2 linked regions of the Mytilus edulis genome follow. The protein of the gene in region 2 interacts with the protein of the main gene of each other region in a pairwise test. Links are inferred from orthologs where the notes say so. Each region holds a gene or a part of one and is shown on either strand. Other genes may lie near its edges.

What was found.
Region 1: the proteins of ATP-dependent RNA helicase me31b-like (region 2) and eukaryotic translation initiation factor 4E-like interact in binary tests that used the Drosophila melanogaster proteins (3 or more experiments, as listed by UniProt). The link is inferred for Mytilus edulis from reciprocal best matches to the Drosophila melanogaster genes me31B and eIF4E1.

The regions. Positions count from the first base shown.
Region 1 is NC_092352.1:11,375,828-11,392,037, reverse strand, and holds the start of eukaryotic translation initiation factor 4E-like, read left to right. Parts: upstream 1-8,744; 5' UTR 8,745-8,825; coding exon 8,826-8,861; intron 8,862-9,683; coding exon 9,684-9,889; intron 9,890-11,295; coding exon 11,296-11,359; intron 11,360-13,017; coding exon 13,018-13,131; intron 13,132-13,811; coding exon 13,812-13,951; intron 13,952-14,462; coding exon 14,463-14,517; intron 14,518-16,172; coding exon 16,173-16,210. UniProt on the Drosophila melanogaster protein: Recognizes and binds the 7-methylguanosine (m7G)-containing mRNA cap during an early step in the initiation of protein synthesis and facilitates ribosome binding by inducing the unwinding of the mRNAs secondary structures.
Region 2 is NC_092348.1:71,997,820-72,013,319, forward strand, and holds the start of ATP-dependent RNA helicase me31b-like, read right to left. Parts: upstream 7,932-15,500; 5' UTR 7,690-7,931; exon of another isoform or gene 7,582-7,689; intron 4,900-7,581; 5' UTR 4,821-4,899; coding exon 4,738-4,820; intron 3,473-4,737; coding exon 3,412-3,472; intron 2,984-3,411; coding exon 2,749-2,983; intron 2,320-2,748; coding exon 2,176-2,319; intron 1,680-2,175; coding exon 1,585-1,679; intron 1-1,584. UniProt on the Drosophila melanogaster protein: ATP-dependent RNA helicase which is a core component of a variety of ribonucleoprotein complexes (RNPs) that play critical roles in translational repression and mRNA decapping during embryogenesis, oogenesis, neurogenesis and neurotransmission.

The sequences.
Region 1 (16,210 bases), on a different chromosome or scaffold from region 2:
AATCACACTTTGCTAATATTGTACATAAAATGCATTAGTATGTATGAACTACAAGTCAAATACAAATGTACGTTATTCCTTGTTAAAAAAAAAATTTGGGCTGGAAGCTGGACTGATTTTTGTCGAGCCTGCAACTTTTGTTGCAGAAAGCTCGACATAGGGATAGTGATCCGGCGGCGGCGTTAGCTAACTTCTTAAAAGCTTTATATTTTAGAAGGTGGAAGACCTGGATGCTTCATACTTTGTATATAGATGCCTCATGTTACGAAGTTTCCGTCAGTCACATGTCCAATGTCCTTGACCTCATTTTCATGGTTCAGTGACCACTTGAAAAAAAAGTTCAAATTTTTTCTAATGTTGAATTCTCTCTTATTATAAGTAATAGGATAACTATATTTGATATGTGCGTACCTTGCAAGGTCCTCATGTCTGTCAGACAGTTTTCACTTGACCTCGACCTCATTTCATGGATCAGTGAACAAGGTTAAGTTTTGGTGGTCAAGTCCATATCTCAGATACTATAAGCAATAGGGCTAGTATATTTGGTGTATGGAAGGACTGTAAGGTGTACATGTCCAAGTGGCAGGTGTCATCTGACCTTGACCTCATTTTCATGGTTCAGTGGTTATAGTTAAATTTTTGTGTTTTGGTCTGTTGTTCTCATACTATATGCAATAGGTCTACTATATTTGTTGTATGGAATGATTGTAAGGTGTACATGTCTAGCGAGCAGATGTCATGTGACCTTGACCTCATTTTCATGGTTCAGTGGTCAAAGTTAAGTTTTTGAGTTTTGGTCTTTTTATCTAATACTACATGTATATGTCATAGGTCAACTATATTTGGTGTATGGAAATATTTTATGATCTTTATGTCAGTGGCACAGGTTTTATTTGACCGTGACCTCATTTTCACGGTTCATTGCACAGTATTAAGTTTTTGTGTTTTGGTCTATTTTTCTTAAACTATAAGTAATAGGTCAACTATATATGTTGTATAGAAGCATTGTTACAAAATGTAGCTGTACATGTCTGCCTGGCATTGTTTATCTGACCTTGACCTCATTTTCAAGGTTCATTGGTCTTTGTTTAGTTATCTTGGTTAATGTTAAGTTTATGGTACAGTTGTTATAAAGCTTAGCTTTATACTTAGGACTATCAACATAATATCAATGATTAGTATAGAAGGCGAGACATTTCAGCGTGTGCACTCTTGTATATATGTTGGATTGACTTGGGCCGGAGGATTTGCTGGTTTGACATTAAAGCAAAACATACATGTACATACATTGTATATAGGCTAATACTGGTAATAGCAACATAACATGTTCTTTGAGTCTTACAATGACTCCTCTCATTTCTTGTATTCAAGCATGCTCATCATTTTTCAAAAGCTAATGTCCTTGAACATCATCAATCAATAAATGTGGGAGATGGGATTTTACTAGGTTTTAACCTGTGCATATTGTGGATGTGCAATCTACTAATGAGTCAACAAGTTCACATGAATCATGAATGATCTATTTGATAAAAGGGTGCAAGATGATTTGCTGCATGAAACAAAAACTTCTACTAGCACTTGCTCAATTCAGGGCTAAAAAAACTTTAAAAAAAACTCCAGGGGTCACAACTGTTATTATATAACGTCTAGTTCTATATACATGTAGATATAATAAGATGTAATAAGTCTGTTGGAAACAATTAAATCATACCAAATAAGGCTAAAACCTCCTTGGTGAGAGTTAGGCTTCCACTTAATAGAATGATTAAAAAAAAATTGATGTTCATTCGGTAGGTAAGGGGTTACAGTCGAAATGGGTTTTGAAAGCATTCAAAGGTACATTTTGTAAGTTACAAACAAAATTTAGCTAAAAGTTGTTTTAAACACCAACACAATAATGTGACTGTTTTTTGTGACAAAATATTATACGACCGTGACCCCAAAATTTTTGTGGTCATATATTGGTATGATGATGGCGTTGTCGTCCGAAGACATTTGGCTTTCGCACTATAACTTTACTATAAGTTAATAGAAATCTATGAAATTTAAACACAAGGTTAATGACAACAAAAGGAAGGTTGGGATTGATTTTGGAAGTTTTGGTCCCAACAATTTAAGAATTAGGGGCCATTAAAGGGTCCAATAAGCATTTTTTTTGGTTTTCGCCCAATAACTCTAGTATAAGTAAATAGAAACAGGGCTCACGCTACCAGGCGACTTGGGCGAAGAAGTCGCCTTCCCGACCGTCACTTCGCTTTCCCCGACCCCCAAAAGCGAAATCAAGTCGCCCTGTTCTTGACGATACTCGCTTTCAGTCGCTTCCGTCATCGGACATTTTCAATTTTTACCAAGTTGATGAAACATCAATTTTTTATTGATAATTAAAGAAATTCAGACATAAACGATTCATTATCTTTAGAAAAGAAGTTGAAGCATTGTCTTCGCAGTGTGTAGCAGGTTATTTGATAAAAATACAACTTTTTATCACTTCATGCATTTTCGCAAGTTCCGGTGCTTGTTACTCGAAAACGTACATCAACCTAAATTTCGGCGGCAAAATAAGTTTGTTACTTCATTTAAACGTGATAAAAGTTGCCTCCAGTAAATGTTTAATCCATTTATTGCATTAAAAACGTCATGTTCCTTTTCAAATAACTTGTCAAACATCGTTTATTTTTGTAAATTTTCTTGCATTCGTCCGCCATTGACCGATTTCTAAACTACGGATCTGAACCGGACCAGCTATGACCGAAATCCGTACTTTTACGATAATTACTACGGACGGACGGACGGAACAGCTGACAGAAGAATATTGATCCCAAAGGGAAAAATTACGCATTCCACACACATTAAGAGACTTTTGGTTACATCTAATTGATTCTTGTATATAATTCCCTATATTTTTTGGATTGTTTCAAACTATTGATTAAAGTTGCTTAACTCTGATACTATTATACTAATTTCAATATATTATGGCCCAGCTGAATATAACTTTTATATTTTTTTTTATGAGAAACACTGAATTTCATACACAAGATAATTTTTAATTAAATTGTAATAATTATATATTATAATTTCTTTACATTTTTTAAAATAATTTTTTTTTTAGTGCTAGATATTTAGTTGGAATAAGTTTCTCACAAGAACCTTAGTAAAACTTAAACAACTTTTAATTTCAAATGTTACTTTAATTGTATTTTTTTTACTCGGATATGAATTGAACAATATAAAAAGAACATTATTTACATATATATGGCCCTTTATACTATTGTAAAATCCAAACATTGTAGCGCACCGCACGAATGAGCACTTCTCTTTCAAATCTCACCACTTCTCCCTATCAGTTTCAAAAAGAGAAGTCACTTCTCCCTATAATTCTGAAGTAGTGTGAGCCCTGAGAAATCTATGAAATTTTAACACAAGGTTTATTGCCACAAGGAAGGTGGGGATTGATTTTAGGAGTTTTGGTACCAACAGCTTAGGAAATAGGGGCTAAAAAAGGGCACAAATAAGCATTTTTTTGGTTTTCGCACAATGACTAGTATAAGAAAATAGAAATCTATGAAATTTAAACACAAGGTTTATGACCACAAAAGGAAGATTGGGATTGATTTTGGGAGTTTTGGTTCCAACAGTTGAGAATTAGGGGCAAAAGGGTTTAAAAATTAAACTTTGTTTGATTTCATAAAAAATTGAACTTTGGGGGTTCTTTGATATGCCGAATCTTATGTACTTAGATTCTTAATTTTTGGTCCCGTTTTCAAATTGGTCTACATTAAGGTGTTTAATTTTAACAAAAATTGAATTCTTTGGTTTTTTTTTATACATGTATGCTGAATCTAAACATGTACTTAGTTTTTATACAACCCCAAAAAAATTTTGGGATCGTATAATGGTATGATGTTGTCGTCTGCGACGTCATAGTCCGAAGACACATTGGTTTCCAGATAATAACTTTAGTTTTATTTAATAGATCTTCATGAAATTTTTTCAGAAGGTTCAATACCACAAAAGGAAGGTTCAGATTGATTTTGGGGATGATGGTCCCAACCGATTAGGAATTAGGGACCAAAAGGGGCCCAAAACAAGCATTTTTCTACTTTCAGGATAACAACTTGTGTAGAAGTATTTCATTTGCTCTGAAATCATACTGCAATGTTTAAAACCATAATTAGAAGGTTTGGATTCATTTTAGGGGTTATGGGGCCAAAGTTTAGGAATTAAGGGCCACAAAGGGGTCAAAACCAGCATTTTTCTAGTTTCAAGACAATAACTTATGTGTAATTGTATGGATCTCTCTGAAATTGTACCAAAATGTACCATATAACAAAGGGGAGGCTGGGATGAAGTTTTGGGTTAATTGCCCAAAATATGTAGGAATTATGGGCCAAAAAAGGGCCAAAAAGAGGCATGTTTCTAGTTTCCAAACAATCATGACAATAACTCGTGTTTAAGTGTATGGATCTCTCTGAAATTGTACTACAAGGTTCAATACTGTAATGGAAAGCATGGGATTATTGCTCCAAGGTGGTTTCAAAAAGTTTGGGGGGGGGGGATTTTTTGGTTTACCATTTTTTAAAGGTCTTCCTTTTTTAGCTCACCTGGCCCAAAGGGCCAAGTGAGCTTTTCCCATCACTTGGCGTCCGGCGTCGTCGTCCGGCGTCCGTCGTCGTCGTCCGTCGTCGTTAGCTTTTACAAAAATCTTCTCCTCTGAAACTACTGGGCCAAATTAAACCAAACTTGGCCACAATCATCATTGGGGTATCTAGTTTAAAAAATGTGTGGCGTGACCCGGTCAACCAACCAAGATGGCCGCCACGGCTAAAAATAGAACATAGGGGTAAAATGCAGTTTTTGGCTTATAACTCAAAAACCAAAGCATTTAGAGCAAATCTGATATGGGGTATAATTGTTTATCAGGTCAAGATCTATCTGCCCTGAAATTTTCAGATGAATCGGACAACCCGTTGTTGGGTTGCTGCCCCTGAATTGGTAATTTTAAGGAAATTTTGCTGTTTTTGGTTATTATTTTGAATATTATTAGCTCACCTGGCCCGAAGGGCCAAGTGAGCTTTTCCCATCACTTTGCGTCCGTCGTCCGTCGTCGTTAACTTTTACAAAAATCTTCTCCTCTGAAACTACTGGGCCAAATTAAACCAAACTTGGCCTCAATCATCATTGGGGTATGTAGTTAAAAAAATGTGTGGCGTGACCCGGCCAACCAACCAAGATGGCCGCCATGGCTAAAAATAGAACATAGGGGTAAAATGCATTTTTTGGCTTGTAACTCAAAAACCAAAGCATTTAGAGCAAATCTGACATGGGGTAAAATTGTTTAGCAGGTCAAGATCTATCTGCCCTGAAATTTTCAGATGAATCGTACAACCCGTTGTTGGGTTGCTGCCCCTGAATTGATAATTTTAAGGAAATTTTGCTGTTTTTGGTTATTATCTTGAATATTATTATAGATAGAGATAAACTGTAAACAGCAATAATGTTCAGCAAAGTAAGATTTACAAATAAGTCAACATGACCGAAATGGTCAGTTGACCCCTTTAGGAGTTATTGCCCTTTTTAGTCCATTTTTAACCATTTTTCGTAAATCTTTTGTATCTTTTACAAAAATCTTCTCCTCTGAAACTACTGGGACAAATTAATCCAAACTTGGCCACAATCATCATTGGGGTATGTAGTTTAAAAAATGTGTGGCGTGACCCGGCCAACCAACCAAGATGGCCGCCATGGCTAAAAATAGAACATAGGGGTAAAATGCAGTTTTTGGCTTATAACTCAAAAACCAAAGCATTTAGAGCAAATCTGACAGGGTAAAATTGTTTACCAGGTCAAGATCTATCTGCCCTGAAATTTTCAGATGAATCGGACATTCTGTTGTTGGGTTACTGCCCCTGAAATGGTAATTTTAAGGAAATTTGGCTGTTTTTGGTTATTATCTTGAATATTATTATAGATAGAGATAAACTGTAAACAGCAATAATGTTCAGCAAAGTAAGATCTACAAATAAGTCAACATGACCAAAATGGTCAGTTGACTACTTTAGGAGTTATTGCCCTTTATAGTCAATTTTTAACCATTTTTCGTAAATCTTAGTAATCTTTTAGAAAAAGCTTCTCCTCTGAAACTACTGGGCCAAATTTAACCAAACTTAGCCATAATTGGGGTATCTAGTTAAAAAAATGTGTCCAGTAACTCGGCCAACAAACCAAGATGGCCGCCATGGCTAAAAATAGAACATGGGGGTAAAATGCAGTTTTTGGCTTATAACTCAAAAACCAAAGCATTAAGAGCAAATCTGACAGGAAGTAAAATTGTTGATCAGGTCACAATCTATCTGCCCCTGAATTGGTAATTTTGAGGAAATTTTGCTGTTTTTTTTGTTATCTTGAATATTATTGTAGATAGAGATAAACTGTTAACAGCAATAATGTACAGCAAAGTAAGAACTAAAAATAAGTCACTATGACCAAAATAGTCAATTGACCCCCTAACGAGTTATTGCCCTTCATAGTCAATTTTTAACAATTTTGTTAAAATTTGAAGATTTTCAATAACATTTTCCACAGAAAGTACTGTTATAGATAGAGATAATTGTAAGCAGCAAGAATGTTTAGTAAAGTAAGATCTACAAACACATCACCATCACCAAAACACAATTTTGTCATGTATCCATCTGTGTCCATTGTTTAATATTCACAAAGACCAAGGTGAGCGACACAGGCTCTTTAGAGCCTCTAGTTATAGATAGAGATAAACTGTAAACAGCAATAATGTTCAGCAAAGTAAGATTTACAAATAAGTCAACATGACCGAAATGGTCAGTTGACCCCTTTAGGAGTTATTGCCCTTTATTTTCAATTTTTAACAATTTTTCGTAAATCTTAGTTATCTTTTACAAAAATCTTCTCCTCTGAAACTACTGGGACAAATTAATCCAAACTTGGCAACAATCATCTTTGGGGTATCTAGTTTTAAAAATGTGTGGCGTGACCCGTTCAACCAACCAAGATGGCCATGGGCTAAAAATAGAACATAGGGGTAAAATGCAGTTTTTGGCTTATAACTCAAAAACCAAAGCATTTAGAGCAAATCTGACATGGGGTTAAATTGTTAAGCAGATCAATATCTATCTGCTCTACAATTTTCAGATGAATCTGACAACCCGTTGTTGGGTTGCTGCCCGTGAATAGGTAATTTTGCTGTTTTTGGTTATTATCTTGAATATTATTATAGATAAAGATAAACTGTAAACAGCAATAATGTTCAGCAAAGTAAGATTTACAAATAAGTCAACATGACCGAAATGGTCAATTGACCCCCTAAGGAGTTATTTTCCTTTATAGTCAATTTTTAACAATTTTCATAAAATTTGTAAATTTTTATAAACATTTCCACTGATATTACTGGGCCAATTCATTATAGATAGAGATAATTGTAAGCAGCAAGACTGTTTAGTAAAGTAAGATTTACAAACACATCACCATCATCAAAACACAATTTTGTCATGAATCCATCTGCTTCCTTTGTTTAATATTCACATATACCAAGGTGAGCGACACAGGCTCTTTAGAGCCTCTAGTTTTCAAAATTTTTCAAATTTCAAATTTAAAAAAGTTTCAAGAAGAAATCTCCAATTGCACAGTATTGTGCAATAGATTTGTTACATCTTTGACTACATTAATTTTGTGACAAAAACCTATATTATGTCAAAATTTGATCACAATCCAAATTCAGACAGAATCAAGCTTGAATATTATGACCAAATTTGCCCCAACTGTTCAGGGTTCAACCACTGGGGTCGTACAAAGCTGTGCCCTGTGGAGCACCTGGTTTGATTATGGGCCCAGTTTTCAAGTTGGTTCTAATCGGGGTCCGAAATTAAACTTTGTTTGATTTCAACAAAAATTGCTCAGTATTACACAATAGCAAGAAATCTTCAATTGCACAATATTGTGCAATAGCAAATATTTTCAATTGCACAGTATTGCACAATAGCAAGAAATATCTAATTGCACAATATTGTGCAATAGCAAGAAATTTTCAATTGATTGGAGTTATCTTTCTTTGTTCAGAATAGTAGTTGAATCAACTTAAATCATTGTTTTATACAATATACAATGTATATTCACTTTTACTACCAACTGATAAATTAAAACAATCTTAGAAATTTGAATTGAGATCAGTTTTGGAAAAAGGGAAAGGGGAAAGGGGGATGTGAAAAAAAATGGGGGGGGGGGGGGGGGGGGTACATTTTTCTCATTTCAGATTTCATAAATAAAAAGAAAATTTCTTCAAACATTTTTTTGAGAGGACTTATTCAACAGCATAGTGAATTGCTCAAAGGCAAAAAAATTTAAAGTTCATTAGACCACATTCATTCTGTGTCCGAAACCTATGCTCTGTCAACTATTTAATCACAATCCAAATTTAGAGCTGAATCCAGCTTGAATGTTGTGTCCATACTTGCCCCAACCGTTCAGGGTTCAACCTCTGCGGTTGTATAAAACTGCGCCCTGTGGAGCATCTGGTTCAAATCTTTTATGGTGAAAAAATTATAATCACATGTGCAATTTTATTGTTTTGTTAATGTTTAAATTGTAGAAGAATCTAAAGATTTAGGTCTTGATAGATTGATGTAGTTCAAAAAAACAAATTTGGTTAGGAAGTAGGACAACCTACGGTAAGTTTTTCATTCACATGTCTAGAAATGATTGTCATGCCCAGAAGGGATATTCTTGTCAGGTCACAGTGGTTGGTATGCTGGTACATCTGATGTTCAGTATATAACTGTCTTACACAGGATTATAATATGCTATACCACCTGAGTCTTGGCTCAAAAATACGGGTAAGAGGAAAATGTTTTAAAGAGGTATTTTGGGGAATAGACTTATTTAACACCAAGGAATTTTGACAGCCAGTCTAATGTATGTCTATTAAGATTTTATAGCTTTTTCATACATATTTTCTTTTTGAGATTATGATTTATAGTTATACATTTTTTATATCATTTTTGAAAGGTCTTATTTAAAAAGCTCTTAAACCCTAAAAAGACCTTATATTCATACAGAATAAAAGACTTTTCTTTGTCAGATTTTAGTATTATTTGCGAAAAGTACTTATTTCATATGTGTTTCTCTTTTATAAGTTGTATAAAATTGCATTCATGGATTACTTGAAAGTTACAGTAAGATAAAGTTATTTTCACTTACAAATAATGAATTATGTATGCATTTATTATTTTGTTGGATACATATGCATTTGTAGGTACAGAACAAAATATAAAATTTCAATTGAATTATTTATTTCTTGTCTTGAATTGAAATAGAGACTTTTTTTTTTTTTTTAATTTGAAGGTACACAATGTAGAGCTATTTTGTAAATATTGACAAAAGAAATAAATCTGCTGATTTTGTTAGACATTGCTTTAATTCATTTCTCCATAAATGAAAAACTCTCCATGACTGTATTTCTTTACTTTTAAATGAAAATTTATTGTTATGAAATGGAAAGTTACAGATGACAAGTGACTGTGATTACAAAATTCTGACATGGAATTGAGGTCTTCAACCTTCTTGGGAGATTTATTTTTAGTTCATTACTGGCCAAATTTCAAATGGACATGGTATTCATTCTGAACAATAAGATACTATTTACATTTATATTTCAGGAGTTACGGAATGACACAGAAGAACAAGTTGATGAAGTAGAAGAAGTTGAAGGCGAAGAAGATGAATCTTTATCACCAGAACTCTTAATCAAACATCCACTTCAAAACAAATGGGCCTTGTGGTTTTTCAAAAATGACAGAACGAAAGAATGGACAGCGAATCTAAAATTGGTTACGGCATTTGATACTGTAGAAGATTTCTGGGGGTAAATTATATATTTATTAGTTAAAATTTTAATTTAAAACTTAATTTCTAGTAGAAGTGAAAATAGAATTTAAAAGTTTATAGAGCAGAGTATTAGTTCTAATTGTTTATTGCGTAATTTAAAAAAATAAATTTAAATGGAAATTCCATATTTAGAAAAGAAAAAAAAAGTACAGTTATTAAGATAAGGCTGTGCATAAAAGTGATTTTATAATTATACCATACTCCATAGGTGGGGGTTTATACACATTTACTTATGTCTGCCTGTCTGTTTTTCCATCCATAAACTTCTGGTGAACCACTCGCTTATCAATGAATGGCCATGTCCCATTTTTCAAATCAAAGCTTCTTAAAATTGGTATCAAGCTATTTGTGAGCTATTGCTATATTCTATTAAGATGTAAATAAATACATACAGGTAAATATTTTGTGAATTGTAATTATTGTTTTAGTTAGGAAAATTATTTTAATATCAATTTTAGAATATTAAAATCTTATTAGCATACACAGTCTTTAAATTGTTAAAGCTGCATCTCTATAGTCAACAAAACAAAACGAAAAATTTGTATTTGAAAGTGCATGTTTTTTTCATTAATGTCAAATAAGTTTTATATTAGAATTGCATTAAAAGTAAAATTTATTGTGAAGTAAAATGAACACATGAATGCACTGTAAATAAAATAAATATTAAAGCAGTTAGTATTTTAATTAAAATGCAAGTCACAAGTTATTTTTGTGATGGTTAAGCATGAAAACTGAGAGTAAAGGTATATAGTAGGTATTAAAATAGAATTTATCTGTCAGAAATGGTTGTGTTGTGACTGGGTTGTCAACATTTGATGGATTATACCATTTAGTGTGACATGTCTTCTAGCCCACTAACCTATAAACAATTATTTTGTTTATTGCACAATGATGAGGAAATCTTGCAATCAATAATGTCCAAATATGAATTATTGTAAAATACTGATATTGGAGCTATTTTAACATGTTTAATGACAGAAGGCTATTATAGGGAAATGCTTGTTTTAATATGTTATATTTATTTATTAAAATTTCAAACTTTGCTAGACACACCCAGAAAAATAGAAAATTAACGTCATGTCATACCCATGATGTCAAGGATATCTGTATTATTATTTGGATGCTTATTTACATTCCCTACCACCCTTGCCTCTTGGTAAATAGAGAAAAAGAACAATTAGTAGAATAACAATATAATCATGTTTCTGAGTTTGAAGCTCAAGTTTGAAGTCAAACTTAACCCGTAATGTTGTTTGGTTATATTAAAAGACATTCAATTTCAAGTTGAAGATTGTAATACATTTACATTTCACTTGGACAATGTGTTTTGTAAACACAGATAATTTATTCTGATTTTAACATGTACAATGTTGATAATTTTAGATTATATAACCATGTACAGAAAGCAAGCAAATTACCCTCAGGCTGTGATTACTCATTATTTAAGGTAAATATTGAAGGAAAAAGAAATTATTTTCTTGTTAGCTTTTATTACATGTATAATTTAACTCTATATGTTATAACATCTACCAACCTGTTATATGATGATAGTATGTGCGTACCTGATCAGATAACATAGTCTGTCATATTTAAAGATCTACATACTTACATTAGAATTTTTTTCAATATAAAACATACATATATTCGGGAAATGGACTACTTCGAGCAAAAAAATAAGTCTGTATGATACGGAGAGTAATCTGAGACTCAAGTCACAACCACAATGTCTAAATCTAGTAAACAAAATGTTGGTGCCAGTACTGAAAAAAAGCTTTTTATTATTCAATAGAACAGTCAGGACTCTACTTCGTCAAAATTATCTCCCCATTACGCCAGTTCATTTTCACATTCGTAGAAATGGAAGCCATTGTAGGGATGACACGCTGCCAATTTTGCTCTTGGCAACCGACAAATTTATCCACATTGCACCATTACGATCCTTATATGTCAGTTGTATTTTTAAAGACAAATGTATCAACTAGCTAATGAGCATTAGTTAACGATCTATTGTCTGATCGGTTGTCAGGTGGAATTTTCGAAAATTCATAAACATTAAAAAAAATTTGAATTAAATATTTCCTGGAAGGGCAGACTAGATTTGTTTAGTGATTGAAGACTATAAACCCTAGTTTTCACACACAAAAAATTATAATTTTTCGAAGATATGCATTTTCATCATCCAACTTGAAAGACTGTCGTCAAGTACTTTCAGTAAAAAATAGCTATTCGAACACACCTACTCTGTTTTTGTGATTCATTAGATAGGTATTTCACTTGACCCATATATTTAATCTTTTAGTACTGTGATTTTTTTATGTTATAAAGTCGACCTGTAGCTTTGATATATAAAAATGATAGAATCTGAAGCGAGACGATGTATGAAATATTCTTACTTTGTACGATATCAAGACAAAATATTCAACTCAAACACGCCCGAACATAAAAAGGTGCACTCGATTTTCTCTTTTTGATGCAATTGTTACCCATTTTTTGAAATTTTTTCTTGAGTCACATAATGGAAGGGCAGACACGAAAATTACTGAACTAATAGATTGATATGTTTTCCGTCCGTGGTAATTTTTTTTTATGCATTTTCTACATCCAACTTGAAAGATACCCATGTCGTCGACTTGATATCTAATTGTTCTGCTTACCTATGTACTAAATAAATTGAAAACTTATGCAAATGGTGTTTTCAAAATAAAACACTTCATAATTGAGAAGAAAATTGTAATTTTGTTTGTTTCTATTAACTTTTAAAATTTTTGTCACTATAGTAAACATTACAGTAAGCATTTATCGCCTTCTCTAACAAAGAGCTTCAATTCTTTTGTTCTATTTCAACCTGGTTTCCGACTGAGAATGGTCTCCTTTTGCATGATTCTTAGAAATCTTAGAAACAGCCATTTCTACAATTATTAGATGCCACTATTTAGACATATCACATGTACAAATATTTCTGAAATGCATTAATATGTGGTCCCCACAGTCACAAGGATGATTCGAATTTGAATTAGGCTGTATTGTTAAAGGTCTGTTTGCCATTGATGGGGTTATTTTGATTATCCTGAATTTACAAGTAAACATTTGTCCTATTCATTTAAGGATGGTGTTCAGCCAATGTGGGAAGATGATGTTAATAAAGATGGAGGAAGATGGTTAATTAATTTAGAAAAAAATAAACGATCAACAGATTTAGATAATTTTTGGTTGGAAACAGTAAGTATTTTAATACATGGACTGGTCAAGTATCAGAAATAAACAGATTTGCATTCATTTTCTTAAACAAAAAGTTTTTTGGTAAATACTTATACTTGATATTTGGGGCATCTGAAGACTTGCAACCATTGCCTTTAGATAGATTAAATATGTGGTTAAGGCCTTAAGTTTGGGACATTGGAGCACTTTTCCTTGAGTATACCCCTGGGTATCATCATTGAGCAGTAGCTGACAGTTTCACTTTTTATTTATTGTTTTGAATAAACTCAGCATCTGTAATTTTCTAACACAATTATCAAAAAGTGCAAGCTTTTGCTGTTGCTTGCCAGCCATCGGTCATTGTATTGTCCACTTTTATCTTACTTTAGAAAAAATCTGAAATATAAGGACAATACTGAACATTTATCATTTAAAGTTAGGATATAAATTTCATTTTTTACGATGCTTCATAAGATACATGTATCTTGGTGGGGAAGATTTAAAGACAATCCAGAAGGAGTCACGTTTAGATGACCTTCGTGTAAATTTTTGATCGACTGTTACTTTCTAGCTGACACTTTCATTGGAACATTTTTTAATGGAAATAGATACAAACCCATTGAAATAAAATAGAAGATACTGCAGGTATATATTCTTAAATCATATCGAAATGACTATCTAATATTTAATTCTTATTTCAGTTATTATGTTTGATTGGTGAAGCCTTTGAAGATTTTAGTGAAGATGTTAATGGTGCTGTTATTAATATTAGGAATAAAGGAGACAAATTGAGTTTATGGACGAGGGATAGTAGGAGACAGGATGCTACCATGAAAATAGGGTACATATACACATAGCAGTGCTATAAATTTGTGATGAATGATCCAATTTTGATATTTATTAATCATAGCACATGTCATTATACAATAGAGTGATGATATCGCATAAACTTTTGATCACTTGATAGCAGTGGATTAAAAACTGAAACCACTACCAGAAATTTTTAATAGTTTGACACTTTGAAATCATTACAAGGGACTTTTTAATTGATTGCACACTAAGAAACCTCTACCAGGGATTTTTAATGGATTTGACACTTTGAAATCATTACAAGGGACCTTTTAATTGATTGCATACTCAGAAACCACTACCAGGGATTTTTATTCAGTTGACCACCAAGAAACCATAACCAGGGATTTCTAATCTATCTCTTAGGGGCAATTGTAATAGTCTTTTTATGTTTACAGTTTTTAGAATAATTTTCTCTACAAACATAATTGTTAAGCTATTCACATTATGATCATGGGTGTAATTGCTATTTGTTAGATTTACACATTAATCTTTTTTTGCAGAAGAAAATTAAAAGAGAGACTACGAATACCAAACAAATTAGTAATAGGATTTCAGGTAAACTATATCATTGATATATATGACATATTTGTCTTTTGCCCATGAATGCTATCAATAACTAAAATTACATATTTTGGTTTGTTTATCTCCCCTCATACTGCATTTAAATACCATTAATGTTAACCAAATTACAACTTTAATATAAGTTATCTCCCCTCATTCTGCATTTAAATACCATTAAGGTGAACCAAATTGCAGCCTTAATGTAAGTTATCTCCCCTCATTCTGCATTCAAATACCATTAAGGTGAACCAAATTACAGCTTTAATAAAAGTTATCTCCCCTCATTCTGCATTCAAATACCATAAAGGTGAACCAAATTACAGCTTTAATATAAGTTATCTCCCCTCATTCTGCATTCAAATACCATTAAGGTGAACCAAATTACAGCTTTAATAAAAGTTATCTCCCCTCATTCTGCATTCAAATACCATTAATGTTAACCAACTTGCAGCTTTAATATAAGTTATCTCCCCTCATTCTGCATTCAAATACCATTAATGTTAACCAAATTGCAGCTTTAATATAAGTTATCTCCCCTCATTCTGCATTCAAATACCATTAATGTTAACCAAATTACAGCTTTAATGTAAGTTATCTCCCCTCATTCTGCATTCAAATACCATTAAGGTGAACCAAATTACAGCTTTAATAAAAGTTATCTCCCCTCATTCTGCATTCAAATACCATTAATGTTAACCAAATTGCAGCTTTAATATAAGTTATCTCCCCTCATTCTGCATTCAAATACCATTAATGTTAACCAAATTGCAGCTTTAATATAAGTTATCTCCCCTCATTCTGCATTCAAATACCATTAATGTTAACCAAATTACAGCTTTAATATAAGTTATCTCCCCTCATACTGCATTCCAATACCATTAAGGTGAACCAAATTACAGCTTTAATATGAGTTATCTCCCCTCATTCTGCATTCAAATACCATTAATGTTAACCAAATTACAGCTTTAATATAAGTTATCTCCCCTCATACTGCATTCAAATACCATTAATGTTAACCAAATTACAGCTTTAATATAAGTTATCTCTTCTCATACTGCATTTAAATACCATAAATGTGAACCAAATTACAGCTTTAATATAAATACAAATATAAAAAAGTATATTTACAAATTTGAAAGAACACAGATTTGAAATATTTTAGTGTTTCAGTGTAAATGCTCAAATCACTATAGCTTAAAAAAATTCTACTGAACATTCAAGATGTCTACCATCACCACTTTACTCCGATAAACAGCAATAGATACTATGGTGAACAGAAGAACATAGACATGATACAAAGGTACACATGGTGATAGCAAAACATGGACCTAACCGAATATGATAAATGGGGTTGGTTATTTTGTAACCACAACTCATTACCATCTCGATGAATTTTAATACAAGATTCACAGAATCTTTATAATTTGTTAATTCTTTTTTTACAAGTGACATCAACTTAATGCCTTTAGATGAATGGTAATATTCATTAATTGATACCATTGTACATCTTTTCTTTTCTTTAATTTCTATTTTTATTTTTTAGTAAAACTGTAACAATCTTTTGATTGTGTTCATTTAATATTACGATAGTTCAATTACAAACTTTTTATTGCTGTAGTTTCAATATGGTTTGTTGCTGTATATTTCAGGCACATAGAGACACCATCTCAAAATCAGGATCTACAGC
Region 2 (15,500 bases):
TTCTGATCCGAACTTGACTATATTACATTTGTATTGTGTGCTGTTATCAAATAAATGTAACTAAAATTGAAACTGGCAGTTGTTTTGAATATGTGCCTAGTGGTGGTGCTTTAAAAGCAACATAACAGACCACTGTTTAATACAATAAAAGTTCAAAGTAGAATATATATTGTTTTTTTGTATTCACAAATTTGTATGAAATTATGAACATTACCACATTCATATTAACAAGTCCGCATCTACGTCACGCGTTTTCACACGCTTTTTGACATATCATGTTATGTCATGACATGATTTCCCATTGTCAGAGGTTGACATGTATGTATAAACAGCAACATGGACAACCTCCCAGGAACGTCAGATGATGGAGTTCCCCATATTCCTAGCAGGTAATATACACAAACACGATACACAAAGTACCTAAGCAAACAAGTAAAAAAACAGAACAAACATTGCGTTTTCCCCTATTTTTTTTTTAACTTGGAACGATCGATCAACTAACGATGGCTATGCCACAAAAAAGTAAAACCAGAAAAGATAAGTGGTCTAGTATTTGTAGAGGTTAGCCTTATACTAGACAAATATTTTTCAAAGACTAACCTCATGTTTGATCCAGGAAAAGTGCATAGTTCGATGTTTTGATCTGGACGTTTAACTAAGGGAGGGGGAGAGGTAAAAAAAAAACTGAATTCCAAAAAGAAACCTGCAATCCCTGTTTCCAAAATATGAAATGTTAAATCCCGTCTCCCCCAATTACAGAAAATGTAGAACTTGAATTGCATGATAATTTTGGGGGTACAAAGCTAACAATACTTTGTGGTTTAATCTGTTAGGTTCATTAAATCTTTGACTTTGTTGAAACGGATTCAAAGAACAAATGGATGAAAGGCTAGCAAAACATACGCTGCCAAGGCCTACAGGACTGTTGTGACAAATGGTTTAGCCCTACCCTGAATTGTGATTTGTAAAACTGATCTCAAAGGTGATTTGCCAATTGTCAATTACTGCATGCATGTTGAATTTGTTTTGGTAACTTGTCGCTAGCTAGGGCTGTAACAATACGCCTACCTAACAGTTTGGTTTGATTTTCTATACAAGGGTTGCGGTTCGGTTCATTTTGGTTGGATACATTTCTGGAATTTTAAGTTGAAATATGAATATGAATGCGTGTAGACAAGGGACACGTAACACATCCAAGTGCTGAAACTGACAACCCGACCACTAGGACTGCACATTTTCTCATGCTGATAGCCAAAACATTGTGAAAAACCTTTAATAATCTATGGAAAATAGCATCATTCCGATATTTTTCTAAACTGACAGAAAAAAAAATCTATGGGTGGTGGGTTTCAATGATTTTTTTTAAGATTCCATAGGTTGTTGGTCTTGACATAATCTAAATTCTATTGGTGGTGGTTTAAAAATTTAATTGATTTCTATGGGTGGTGGGGGTAAAAAAAAAGTGCCGTCCCTGGGGGGGGACATAGTATTTTCTGGAACAGCCCTAAAGGGACAATGCATATTATTCCATTATAATACTACATAAACATTACTATAATTGCACTGTAACCTTTAACAACCTACCTCATCTAACACCATTATACCACACTTTCCTATCTTGACAAGGTTTTTGTTCAGCAGATCTAAAATTCTACCAGGTGTTGCAATAATGGCATGAACTGAAATAAATTAGACAATATTTAATCCGGCTATTAACAGAAACATCTAATATTAACTGTAGTATATGTTGTAGTTTACTATAATGACAATGTTTTTGAATTTAAACTTAAAATTCAAATATAAATATTGATTCTAAATGTAAAATTATCTGGTAGCTATTTCAACTCAAAAGACAATATTTTAATACTGGAAAATTAAACCTAACCATAATCACTTTAGAAATATGCCTGAAGTTTTAACAACTGAGATTATTGTTCTCCAAAATAAGTATAGTCTGTCTGCTCTGTCATGAAGTCAACAATACTGGACTTAAAATTGATTGAAGTGTGTTATTTACTTAACTTATTTTTTAATTACAATTTTTATTTCAAACATAAGTTGATATTCAATTAAAACAATTCTATAATTTGAGAAATTATCTCCCTTCATAACATTACCCACCTATGCTGACTAAACTTGTATCAACCATCATCATTCAGTGTATATAATATTTACCTGGTTCATATAATCTCATGATATCGTCTTTTAAATTGGTTCCTCCAGTAGTCACCATACATTTGATACCTAAATGTTTACTAATTTCTATACAAATCTGACTAGTCTGTAAGGCAAGTTCTCTAGTAGGTACAATTATCATAGCTGTAAAAAATGAACAAAAATTTCGTCAATTTAAAAAATAATAATTTATGAACCGTTTTAATGGTGTCATTCTTTTGTTTGCTTAATTTGTAGATTAAGCTTGTAAGTTTGGACTGTTTTAATGGTGTCATTCTTTTGTTTGCTTAATTTGTAGACTAAGCTTGTAAGTTACATGTACAAATACCAGAGGCTACAAATATTAATTTAGCCTGATATTTCTATGACCATAAAACAGTGAATTAAGACTTGACATATTGTATAGACAAAATGTCTGATGTTGATCTCTGTGTATTGGTACTTGGTAGGTTGTGATTGCAGTCTTATGGAATAAAGTCAACATGTCAACCTATACATCAACATTTTTTGCAAATGACATTTAACCTGTTATAGATTACAGCTTTACAAAATAGTAGATTAGTTTATCTTTACCTTGAACTTCATCCCTTGAAGGGTCACATTTCTCTAATATTGGTATAGTATAAGCACCAGTTTTTCCAGTACCATTTTTGGCTCTAGCTAAGATGTCTCGCCCTGTAAGTGCTATAGGAATACTAGCTTCCTGTATAGGTGATGGTGATTCCCATCCTTTTTCAAAAATCCCCATCAAAAGCTCTCTCTTCAGACAAAAATCTTCAAATTCATTCCCTTTTGTATTGGTAACATCCTAAAAAGCAGAGAAATTGCACATCATTGCTTTTGAAACTGAAAGGCTTAAATATACACTAAATAGGCTACAAATGTGCATGTTACTTCATTGAATGGAATAAAAAATATTCAGAATAAATGTCCAAATGACAAAATGCATAGATTCAATATATCAGTTTAGAAAATCAAAATCATCAAAGATTCTTAGACATGTACAATGTACATCTCTCTCATCGTCTTGTTTATCAAATAGGTAAAGTATACAACTACTTCATGTTCATAAAATATTATGTACATCATATATAATATTATGTAGTGAACTCTAAGGAAAATCCTTCAACATAACTTGTAAGTGTCTAAAGAACTCTATAAATCAGGTTGCTGTACAGGTTGGTAACCTTTGTAATTTACCTAATGTAAATATTTTTTCCTAATTACTATACTTACAGTCGTCTTGATTCTGTTATCCTTTGGAGGAAGCTTTAATTTGGACTTCCAACCCTGGTCACTGAAAGACAATAGCAGATAACTCACTTAACATTAAAGAAAATCTGAATACAATTCTTTTCTCATTTTGAAGAAATTTAGTTCATCTGACATGTCTGGTCATAATTTTTTCCAAACAAAAAATGTAAAATTAATGAAAAAGGAAATCCTTTAATAAGTCGTATAGGCTTTGACAGGACTTTCCCTTGAAATTGAAGTAGTAGGCTAAATTACAATTATAGGTGGCAGGTGGCTGTAACATGCATTCGGCGAAGTCGAAACGCCCAAGCTTAACAGCTTGGGGCAAAATGGCAGGGGGTCTGGGGGGCCGCTGAAGGCCCCCAGAAGCTCTGGCACAAATAAAACAAAATAATTGAAAAAGAACAAAACAATTGAAAAAGATATTTTTTCTTTTTGAATTTATATTTTTATCAGTGAAGTAGCTTGCACTTGAAGCGACTGTAAACTGTGGAAATCTGCCGTCTACCGCCTTCTTTGGAAAGCCTTGCTTTGAAATAGCTTTAAGTAACTTCAACTACTCTCAGATGTGTACTTAACATGTTGTTTTTTGTTGTGGGAACGTATTTATACTCTGCCAAGTTGGGTATGTCTTTTTGCTTTGTATCAATCTAATGAGTTAACCCTTTAGAACTATTTTCATAGTTAGTTCTAATGTTGTACTGTAATGCCACTGTCCCAGGTTAGGGTGATCAGGTTTGGCATAAAAAAAAACTTGTGTAACCTTTAACATTCAGTACTAAGTGATTCAATGACTTGTTGAAGAATATCCTTTAGTTTTTCATTCATTGTTTTGTACATAAATCAGGTCATCAGTTTTCTTGTTTGAATTGTTTTATATGCGTCATTTCAGGGTCTTTTAAAGCTATGTGGAATGGGTTTTTGCTCATTGCTGAAAGCTGTACGGTTACTTAAAATCATTTATATCATTTGGTCTCTAGTTGAATGTCTCATTGACAATCATACAAGTCTTATTTTCATATCTTTTACAAATGTGTAGCTGTCAAAATCTTTGAGCAAGATATTTACCATGTTTTCTAAGATTTAGTTTTAGCTAAAAATAGTTCTTGTATGTAATCAATATATGTGATCTCAAAATATATGCAATTCATTGTGGTTGCTTATTAAAGAATGCTTTGTGATTACTTTCATTAGAATTGCTGTCTTATTGCTGTTTACAACTAATTTCTCACTCATGCATGATCATTGATTATCTTAAATTGTTTGATTTTCACTTTTCTCTGTTGGTTGTTCATAAATTGACCATACCCTGTGCCAGGATTCCCTTTCCCATCCATGGGTGGAGGTCCAGCGTGGTTCATATTTTGTTCCATTCTGGCTGAAGCCATCATTTATGTATCCAAAACTCCTTTTTATTTATTTACGCAGCGAAATATTCACTTATGTGAAACTCATCAGCGATATCTGAATCTGAAAATACACAAAATAAAACCTATGTAAATTGCATTTAAAAGATTGAAAGATTTTTTTCCCAGTAGTAACCCCACTTTGATATATGAAACATTGGTGACCCGAATTGCGGGATAATGTAAATCCAACATTCTGGAAATTTGGGTCCATCAGATTTGACCGAGTTTAATATTCTATTTTATTTTCACTGGAAGTGGAGTTTCTTTAGATTCTGGAAAATTAATTGAAAAACAAAATAAATATTTGCCCACCTCAAAATAACAAATGCAGTGTTCCAGCTAGGTTTTCAAAAGGGCAGGGTGCCAATCCTGAAAAAGGGCATTTAATGCGCGATATGATAATATGAAAGGGCATATTTTAATAAAAGATGTTAATCAAACATTTGTGTTTATTCGTTGAATCACAGGTTATACAAGAACAACATCTTTAGCCCATATAGAACTCTATCTTTCTACTTTTAAGGCTGAAAAACTTGTCAAGCAGCTTGTCACACAAGTTTTTTTATCATTGCTTGGCACAGTTGAACTTTATATGCAGTATGTTTTGAAAGGAGATCTGTTTCATACTGTTTCTATGGTCTACCACATTTTACCAGTTTCACCTTTCTACCCCTGCTGTGCTTGATGGCAATACAGCACAAAACAGCTGTGCTCAGTAAATTCACAATTTTAGGATATAAAGCAACAGTGAAAAATAGTATCAAAAATAAAGAATACAGAAAAAGATGACCAAGGCACCCTACCAACACTGCTACTAAGACCCTCTTTAACTTTTCCCATAACTCAAAATAAATACCTAAACATATATATTCTTAAGCAAGAAGTATGGAGACACATTTTAGAATATGTAAATGGGTTACTCAATGCTAGGAAAAAAATCAGATTGAGTTATCTTTCTTTATTCGGGTGTGCTCCTTCTTTGGAGGATTATAAACAGTACGTAAATATGATGTAAATATGATCACAATATGGCGGCCGATTTTATTATTTTCGTATCAAAAATGAAGGCAGTCAATGACAAATACGTCTGAATTTTCTGTTTATTTTACAGAAAACAAGTAAAACAATGTCTTCAACGAGTTTATAATGGTTTTCCAACTTTCTGTCATTACGTTTCTTCCATGAAACTACGGTAAACATCGCAAATTATGCCCAAGTTGTTGTATGCACATTTCTTCAAAGATAATTGCCGACTGACCGATTCTATTTGAACGAATTAATGTTGATGATCATTAATGACCCATCCGATAAACGGATTACCTATAACAACAGATTATGACACCAGTTGTAACCATTGATTAGCTTGGGGTGGTAAACAAAGTCATAATCTTTTCCCCAGGTAAAATTTAGTAATTAGCGTATCATATCAATACGCAAATTAATATGCAATCAATCTTCAAAAAAGGCAGGGCGCCCTGGAAACTGTAAAAAGGGCACAGGGCGCCACTCGGAAAAGGGCGGCAGTCTGCACCAAAAACTTTTTCAACTACTAGTCCGAAGACCAATATTCTGACATTTTTCTTATTGGGCCAAACAAAGTTTTGCAAAAACTTACTAGTCCGAATGAAATTTTACTAGTCTGGGGCATCGGACTAGTGGCTAACCGTGCAGACTGGGGCGGGCGCAGCGCCCTCTGAAAACGGCCTAGCTGGAACACTGAAATGGAAGTATATCTCATTTTATCATTTCTTTTAAATATTTCAGGAAAACTTTGTGTCAATAAGCACAAAGAGGTAGGACTTTGTAACTACGTGAAAATTTCTAGTCTGCAATGAAAATGTCAAAATTAGGTCTCAAAGTTCCAAAAATATTTGCACTCTAAGTCCAGACGTAAAAATGGCTTCAGCGTTACTTTGTAGGAAGGTGTCCCAGAAAAAAATAAAATAGCCTTGCCAGACATAATTATTTGGACTAAATTTAAAACAAATACATTGCCAATGATATCATTCTGATATAAATTTGGCCTGAATAAAACAATTTTTTTGCTGATGATGTAATTTATTAAATGGAAATTGGCAAAATATGGTAAATCACGGTATTTCAGTTATAAATAAACTCTTGAACCTATCAATTTTATTCTTTTCTATCCCTTTAGGCATGTTAGGAGGATAAAACAATTACAAGAATGATTTTATTTTGGTTACTGTGCGTTTATGACGAAATAAGCTAATGTGTGACCTTCTTCCATCATCATCAACAATTTGACGAGTTCAAAACTACATAGATGTTGAGAAAGGGGGGGGGGGGGGGTGGGGGGGGGTCAAAATTTCTTTGAAAGACTATAGTTAGAGTTAAATTAAAAAAAGATAATCCAAATTCAACATCCTCATTTATGGTTGTCATTGTTTATAACTGGCAGACGGTGAGTGTCTTACTGGAACCTGATGCGGGTTACAGAAAGGTATTTCTTTTTGGCGTCTTATTGAAATCGGTTATTTATACCGGTCTCGGGAGTTCGTATATTTTCTAATGAATTCCAGCACAATTTTCATATCTTGAATTAACAGTCGTACTTAATACATAATGAAAACTCTATATACTTTTGTAAAATCCGCGTAGGTTGTTGGCTTTGCAATAAATATTTGGTAATAATTATAAAAAAAAAATCAGCTGTTTCGTTATAGAGTGGATGAATTATTACTTAAATTACAACGGAACATATCTTTCAATGTAAAATAAATACTTTCTCAGGTAATTAAATGTTTCAACTCAATGATTGTAAAATTTGAGAGTTCTTTGTTTATCTATAAGTCCGATGGCTGGGGATTTATATCTTGACCACCAAACTTACCAATAACATTCAAAATGGCCGATTGAGCGATAGGTGGCGTTGTTGTTTTGTTTCCATTTGAACAAATGGGACTTATATCGCTGTTTTGCTTTAGTTTCAGATTTAAATTTGTTTAAATAAAACTAATTTAAGATACTCAATTCAAACTAAATTAGAAAATAGGTTTTATCTTAGTGCTAAGGAAATTTTTGAAACTATATTTGAACTTTGACCCAAGAAATCTGCAAAACAAATAAACTTCCGGTTGTCATCTTCTGCTAAAGGGTGGATTAATGGTACATGTAGTCAACAACAGGGAACACATTTTTAGACAAATAAGTTTTAACATCTAATTAAAACAGTACTTAAAAAGCAGCATGGGGAATCAAAAAGTCTGTACGAAATAGTTGAATTAAATTGTATTAAAATTTTAAATAATTTGGCTCCTGTATGTTTACAAAATTTACTCCAAATTAAACTAAACTATTCTTTTAGATACAGTAATATTTTGGAAATACCACAGGTTAGAACTATCTCAGGTGGAAAAAAATCTTTTAGTTTTGCTGCTGCTTCTTTGTGGAATAGCTTACCAGACCATTTCAGGACTGCTTCTCACATTTTAAGAGTCTTGTTCCGGCAGTCCTGGAGTGGAACGGAATGTTTTTGCGAGTCTGCCTGTAGATAATTTCTGTTACAATATTTATGCTTTTTATGCTGCATTAACAGCTTGCATTGCAACTGAAATTTTGTTTTATACATTTTAAAATTTGAAAGATTTGAAATTTTTACTTTATAAATCATAAATTAAAAAAAAAAATATTTTTAACTGCAAATTTAAAAAAAAATTGGTGCTTCATATATATGTTCTGGTATTTTGCAAGATACATGGATATGCTATTTGCTTAGAGTTAATTTTTGGTGCTGCTTTTTATTATTTATTGCATGATACTGCATGCCTTGTTTTATTTGTTATTGCATATGTTTATATTCGGTGAAAAGCTCATTTGAGCTTTATATGTTTGTATTGTTTGTCAATATGCCGAATCCAAATAAAGTTTTACTTACTTACTTACATGGATACCCTACTCACACTATCATTTTCCATGTTCAATGGACCGTGAAATTGGGTAAAAGTCTAATTTAATTTTGGCATTAAAATTAGAAAGATCATACCATAGGGAACATGTGTACTAAATTTCAAGTTGATTGGACTTCAGCTTCATCAAAAACTATCTTGACCAAAAACTTTAACTTGAAACTCGCACTTTCATTTTCTATGTTCAGTGGTCTGAACCGTGAAATTTGGGTCAAAAGTATAGTTTGGCTTTAAAATTAGAACGATCATATCATAAGCAACATGTGTACTAAGTTTTAAGTTGATATTGGACTTCAGCTTCATCAAAAACCACCTTGACCAAAAACTTTAACCTGAAGCGGGACAGACGGACGAACGGACAATCTAATTAAAATATTAATCTCTGATTACGTTATACTACATATGAGATCTAACAACTATCCATATGAGGTATAACGTAGTCAGAGATCAATATTTTAATTAGATTGGACGAACTGACGGAAGGACTGTACAATGGACGAACGGACGGACCCACAGACCAGAAGACATAATGCCCCTCTTCTATCATAGGTGGGGCATAAAAATACAGACAGCCATTCCTCTCGGTCTTATTGATAATATCAAGAGAATTGATAACATATCAAGAACCGATTCTATAAATAACATTTTGGATACAATATAGTTTCTAAAACTGATCGTAAAAACCGTTCTTATGGGAGTTAAATAAATTGCAATCAAAGAAATTTCAGTCGTAGGAACAATACAAATATTTCGGACATTTATTACTATTTAAACAAAACAACAGTAGACATAATCTGTTAACAAAGCTTTCGGTTCTTTGCCTGTTAATAAATCACATCAAATTTGATTTCCAACACTGGCATATTCCATATTGCAGACCTAATTAGATATGATGAGATGTGGTGTAAGTGCCAATGCAACAACTCTCCATCGAATTTACAATTTGTTAAAGTAAATCATTATAGGTCATAGATATAGGAAGATGTGGTGTGAGTGCCAATGAGACAACTCTCCATACAAATAACAATTTAAAAAGTAAACCATTATAGGTTAAAGTACGGACTTCAACACGGCGCCTTGGCTCACACCGAACAACAAGCTATAAAGGGCCCCAAAATTATTAGTGTAAAACCATTCAAACGGGAAACCCAACGGTCTAATCTATATAAACAAAACGAGAAACGAGAAATACGTATATATTACATAAACAAACGACAACTACTTCCTGACTTAGGACAGGTGCAAACATTTGCAGCGGGATTAAACGTTTTAATGGATCCAAACCTTCTCCCTTTTTCTGAAACAATAGCATAACATCACAACAAAGAAAAACATACGATAAAATATCAATTGGGAGACTTAATTCAATCAAAAAACGTATGATTAAACAATGAACGAATAAATTTGATCTGCGATATCTGAATACAAATGCACAGTTAATTAAATATTAGAGACAAACATTCATGACCAAAAAGCTAATAAACAAATTCAAACACAGGACATGACTGAGAAATATTTAACCAATCAATCAATATAGTACGCTTTTCATCACGGGGACGGCTTAGCAAACACCGAACAGCAACATATAAAGGGCCCCAAAATTGACTATTTTAAAACCAATCGTTAGTAAACAGGAAAACCAACGGCATAATCTATGTATACAAAATGAGAAACGAGAAACACTTTAAGAACCGCATACTCAATTTACAACCACCGAACATCAGGTCCCTGACTTAATACAGATGCAAACATATGCAGCATGTTTAACCGTTTTAAAATAGGTAGCAACCGTAACCCTTACCTGAAACATTAGTGTAACATTACAACATAGAAAGATACACTATAAAACATTAATTGGAATGGCTTAACTCAATAAATGAGGGGGGACTCCGGGATCAGGTGTTTTTAAGCTCGGGATTTCGGGATTCGGGAATTTTTTTATTTTTTTTTGGATTTCGGGACGTCGGGATTTACTTTATTTAAATTCGGGACCTCGGGATTTCGTGTTTTCAAGCCCTGGATTTCGGGATCAGGACCCCTCCTATCCCCCCTCATAAAAAGACATATTAACAAAAACAAGTGAACATACACTGAACTAAGTATGAAATCGTTCAAATTTTAATTGCATATTACTATTCTAAGCTGTTTCTCAAAATTCGCTCTGAAGATAACAAAAAAAAACATTTGATTAAAAACAAATATGTCAATAAAGGTTTTTGATTTTGTAAGTATTAACGACATTTTAAAAAAACTATTCTGTTAACGAACAAATTATTTGCAATTTTGATAATACTGAAGTCCCTCTTATTTGTTTTGTTTATAAAAAAAATCTATCTGGAAACATATGAATTATTAATTTCTTTTTAACGGTTACCCATTCTGACATCGGACTCGGACTTCTTTTAAACTGAGTTTTAAGAACTTTTACTGTGCGTATTGCTGTGTGTTTGTTTATTTTCATTGGCTAGAGGTTTAGAGGGGGGTTGAGATATCACATTATGGTCATAACATATTTCTCCCCGCCGCATTTATGCGCCTGTCCCAAGTCAGGATCCTCTGGCCTTTGTAAGTCATTTATGTTTGGTTTTTTTAATTTTAGTTCGTTAACATGTTTCTAAGTTTTAGTGTGACGTACATTTTCACTTTTTGGATATTTTTCATCGTCAAGTACATTAGAATATATACAATTTTGTTTGGATCACGCTCATCATCACGTTCTTGTTTTGCTTTTTTTAATAAATTCGTCGCATCTTAAACACTCTCCTCTATTTACATCTTTTATATCTTTCATTATAAAAAAACATCAACTTCAATTTCAAAAGATAATAAAAGATGTTTGGTCGAATAAATGTAGTATCACCCCCAGCGTATTTGTTCTAGACGTAGTGTTTCGATTCAGGTGCAGCATTCATCAAAAGAATGTTATCTGATGCCAGTTGACCAAATGTCCCTAAAATCAGGGATCAACGAGACTCGTTGAACTCAAATTGAAATCGCTAATATTCTCTGAAATGTTACTTAATGAATTCTTTGAAAGTAGACGATGGAGTTTAGCCGGCCCGTACAAAGCAGAAGGAATCGGTGGATAACGTTCTTTAAAATAAATTTGTATTAAAATCCTCAATTCTCTTATTATCAATCGTATAGTTTACCTATACGGATTTTATTTGCATTTTGAAATAAACCCCGCCACTTTTTGAGATTCAAACTAGAGGCTCTTAAGAGCCTGTGTCGCTCACCTTGGTCTATGTGCATATTAAACAAATTACACAGATGGATTCATGACAAAATTGTGTTTTGGTGATGGTGATGTGTTTGTAGATCCTTATGTACTGAAATTCTTGCTACTTACAATTTTCTCTATCTATAATAAACTTGGCCCTTTCGTTACAGTTGAACATATTTTGTAAAAATTTACAAAAATTTACCAAATTAATGAAAATTGTTAAAAATGGACTATAAAGGGCAATAACTCCTTAAGGGGTCAACTGACCATTTTGGTCATGTTGACTTATTTGTAGATCTTACTTTGCTTAACATTATTGCTGTTTACAGTTTATCTCTATCTATAACAGTATTTAAGATAATAACCAAAAATTGCAAAATTTCTTTAAAAATTACCAATTGGGGGACCGCAACCCAACAACCAGTTGTCCAATTCATCTGAAAATTTCAGGGCAGATAGAACAATTTAAATGCTTGTCAGATTTGCTTTAAATGCTTTGGTTTCAAAGTTATAAGCCATAATCTACATTTTACCCCTATGTTCTAATTTTAGCCATGGCGGCTATCTTGGTTGGTTGGCCGGGTTACCGCACATATTTTTTGAACTACATACTCTAATAATGATTGTGGCTAAGTTTTGGCCCAGTAGTTTCAGAGGAGAAGATTTTTGTAGAAGATTACAAAAATTTACGAAAAATTTGTAAAATTGACTATAAAGGACAATAACTCCTTAAGGGGTCAACTGACCATGTTGGTCATGTTGACTTATTTGTAGATCTTACTTTGCTGAACATTATGATGTTTACAGTTTATCTTTATCTATAATAATATTCAAAATAATAACCAAAAACTGCAAAATTTTCTTAAAATTACCCATTTAGTGGCAGCAACCCAACAACAGGTTCTCCGATTCATCTGAAAATTTCAGGGCATATAGATCTTGACCTGATAAACTATTTTACCCCATGTCAGATTTGCTCTAAATACAGAGATATCAGCCAAAATCTACATTTTACCCCTATGTTCTATTTTAACCATGGCGGCCATCTTGGTTGGTTGGCCGGGTCACCGGACACATTTTTTAAACGATGATTGTGGCCAAGTTTGGTTAAATTTGACCCAGTTGTTTCATAGGAGAAGATTTTTGTAAAAGTTAAAAGACGATGACGACGACGGACGACGGACGCAAAGTGATGAGAAAAGCCCACTTGGTCCTTCGGGCAAGGTGAGATAAAAATGAAAGGTCAACTCGAATTGTACAAAGTTGCCAAACTACTTGATAGAATCAACACTTTACTAACCTCTGTGTTTGGGACGAAATATTTTGATCACAATTTGATGTCCTAGACTATTTATTATTGTAATGTTATTGTTTTGTAAGACACACACTTTAAATTTATTTAGTATTTAGAAGTCGCATTAAGAAAGATCGCATACATTTCACATTTTCAATTCATTTTGATTTAGCATAGAGTTTTAGTTTATGTTTTCAGAATAAACACTTTTGATTATCATGGAAACAAAAATCACTGCTTTACATAATTTTTCAATGATTTTACGGTTTTCACCTATAGTTCACCTATTCATTTTCAAATTTTTGTGTGTTTTACTGGCAGACAATAAGTGATTTTTTATAGAATAACTTAGATTATTCCATATTGATATAACTTTAATAGGGTTTTCTATATATGAATCAGATTTTGAATAAATAAGCATATTCACCGAAGGAAAAAGTTTATTCACCACACAAAATGTCGCATACTTTTACATGTATAATTTTGGTAAAAATCCTTTGATGTACAATTGGTTTTGGTAATTACATTCCATTACATGTATACATTTCTCTCAGAATATGGAATAAAACAATTACTGTCTTTTGTTTCGGCAAGGAATATACAATTCCTTGGTTTCGGTAAATATGTGGTTAAATTGACTTAAAAAACTGATATTCACTTCGGCCTCCATTGCCTCAGTGTATATCAGTTATTCAAAAGTCAATAAAACCACATATTTACCTCATCAAAAGACTGTAACTGTATAGTTTTGCAGACTAACAAATATCCAACAGTTCATTAAAATAAAGTTATATATAAACAGTCAGAGCTCAGACATAAATAAGTCTAAATCTGCTTTTGACTCATAGAGGTCTTAATTTGTAGATTCAAAGATTTGTCTCCATTTAATTTAAGACAATTTATGACTTCAATAACAATGAATAAGTCCAATTAGTTTTAATCAAGAAATACATGTTTTTAACCTAAATTAAAGAATTGCAAATATTGACTCCTACAAGTCCATAAGTTAACAAAAGTAAAATCACAAAAATACTAAACTCTGAGGAAAATTCAAAACGGAAAGTCCCTAATCAAATGGCAAAATCAAAAGATAAAACCCATCAAACAAATGAGTGCCTCTTGTTTGGTCATGGTGTTACATGCACGTCTGTCTGTTTATTTTCGACATATGAGTTTGAATTCAATGAAATATTGTCTCTATATTTAAACTTATTTACATTTGGGATTGTTTTCCCCTTTGTACATTGAATAGGATTAGAGGGTTGTAATTGTTAACATAAGGCAATGCAAGCAGTATCAGCAATCATAGGCGGATCCAGGGGGGGGGGGCTGGGCCCAGGCCCCCCCCTTTCGTGGGAAAAATTTGGTTGATTATATAGGGAATCATTGAAGCATGACTGGAGCGGGCCCCCCCTTAGGTCAGTCAGCGGGCCCCCCCTTAGGAAAAGTTCTGGATCCGCCACTGGCAATGTAGTGCATTTAATATGTGTATTTTGTCACATAGCTGACTCATTGATATACATGATGCATTTCCCATTTTATTCTGACATATTGTTTTCATTTTCTGTACATTTGCAGATAAACACTGATAAATATGGCCACAACCAAGAAACCTATAGACAGTAGACAGAATGATGTTGTTCTAAAACTACGAGTCAAAGAGGTGAGATACAATTGTTCATACTGCCAAGAAAAAGTGATATTTTTGTCATGATTCATGTTTATTTTGGTGTGGCATAACTAAAGAAAATTTAAGTAAAATTTAAGTTAAATAGCAAAAGATATGGGCATTACCGAGTTTTTTTCATCTGTATAGTTTCAGATTCATAATTGTAAATGTTTCTGTATCTATACTTTGCGAAATACCAAATTAACACTAAAAAAGCTACATCATTTTAGTAAGTGATTATTCATTTAAGGAATAATTCAGGTTTTAAACCTTAACCTTGAATAGGTATATAAGCAGTGAGTTTTGCCTGCCTTCCAATTATTTTATTTTTGAGATGTAATTGTCTGATATTTGTACAATGCACATTTGGTTGTCTAACTAATTTGCATCTACTTTCTTTTTTATTTTCATCTTAAGTTTCTAAGTATTGTATTTCTAGCTTATTATGAGCTCTTAGTTTTAAGTTCTCAACAGTTGCTGTTCAACTTCCGGGCTGATATTAATTCAGTGACAGACCTCCAAAAACTTCTTAGTTACAAATGATTGT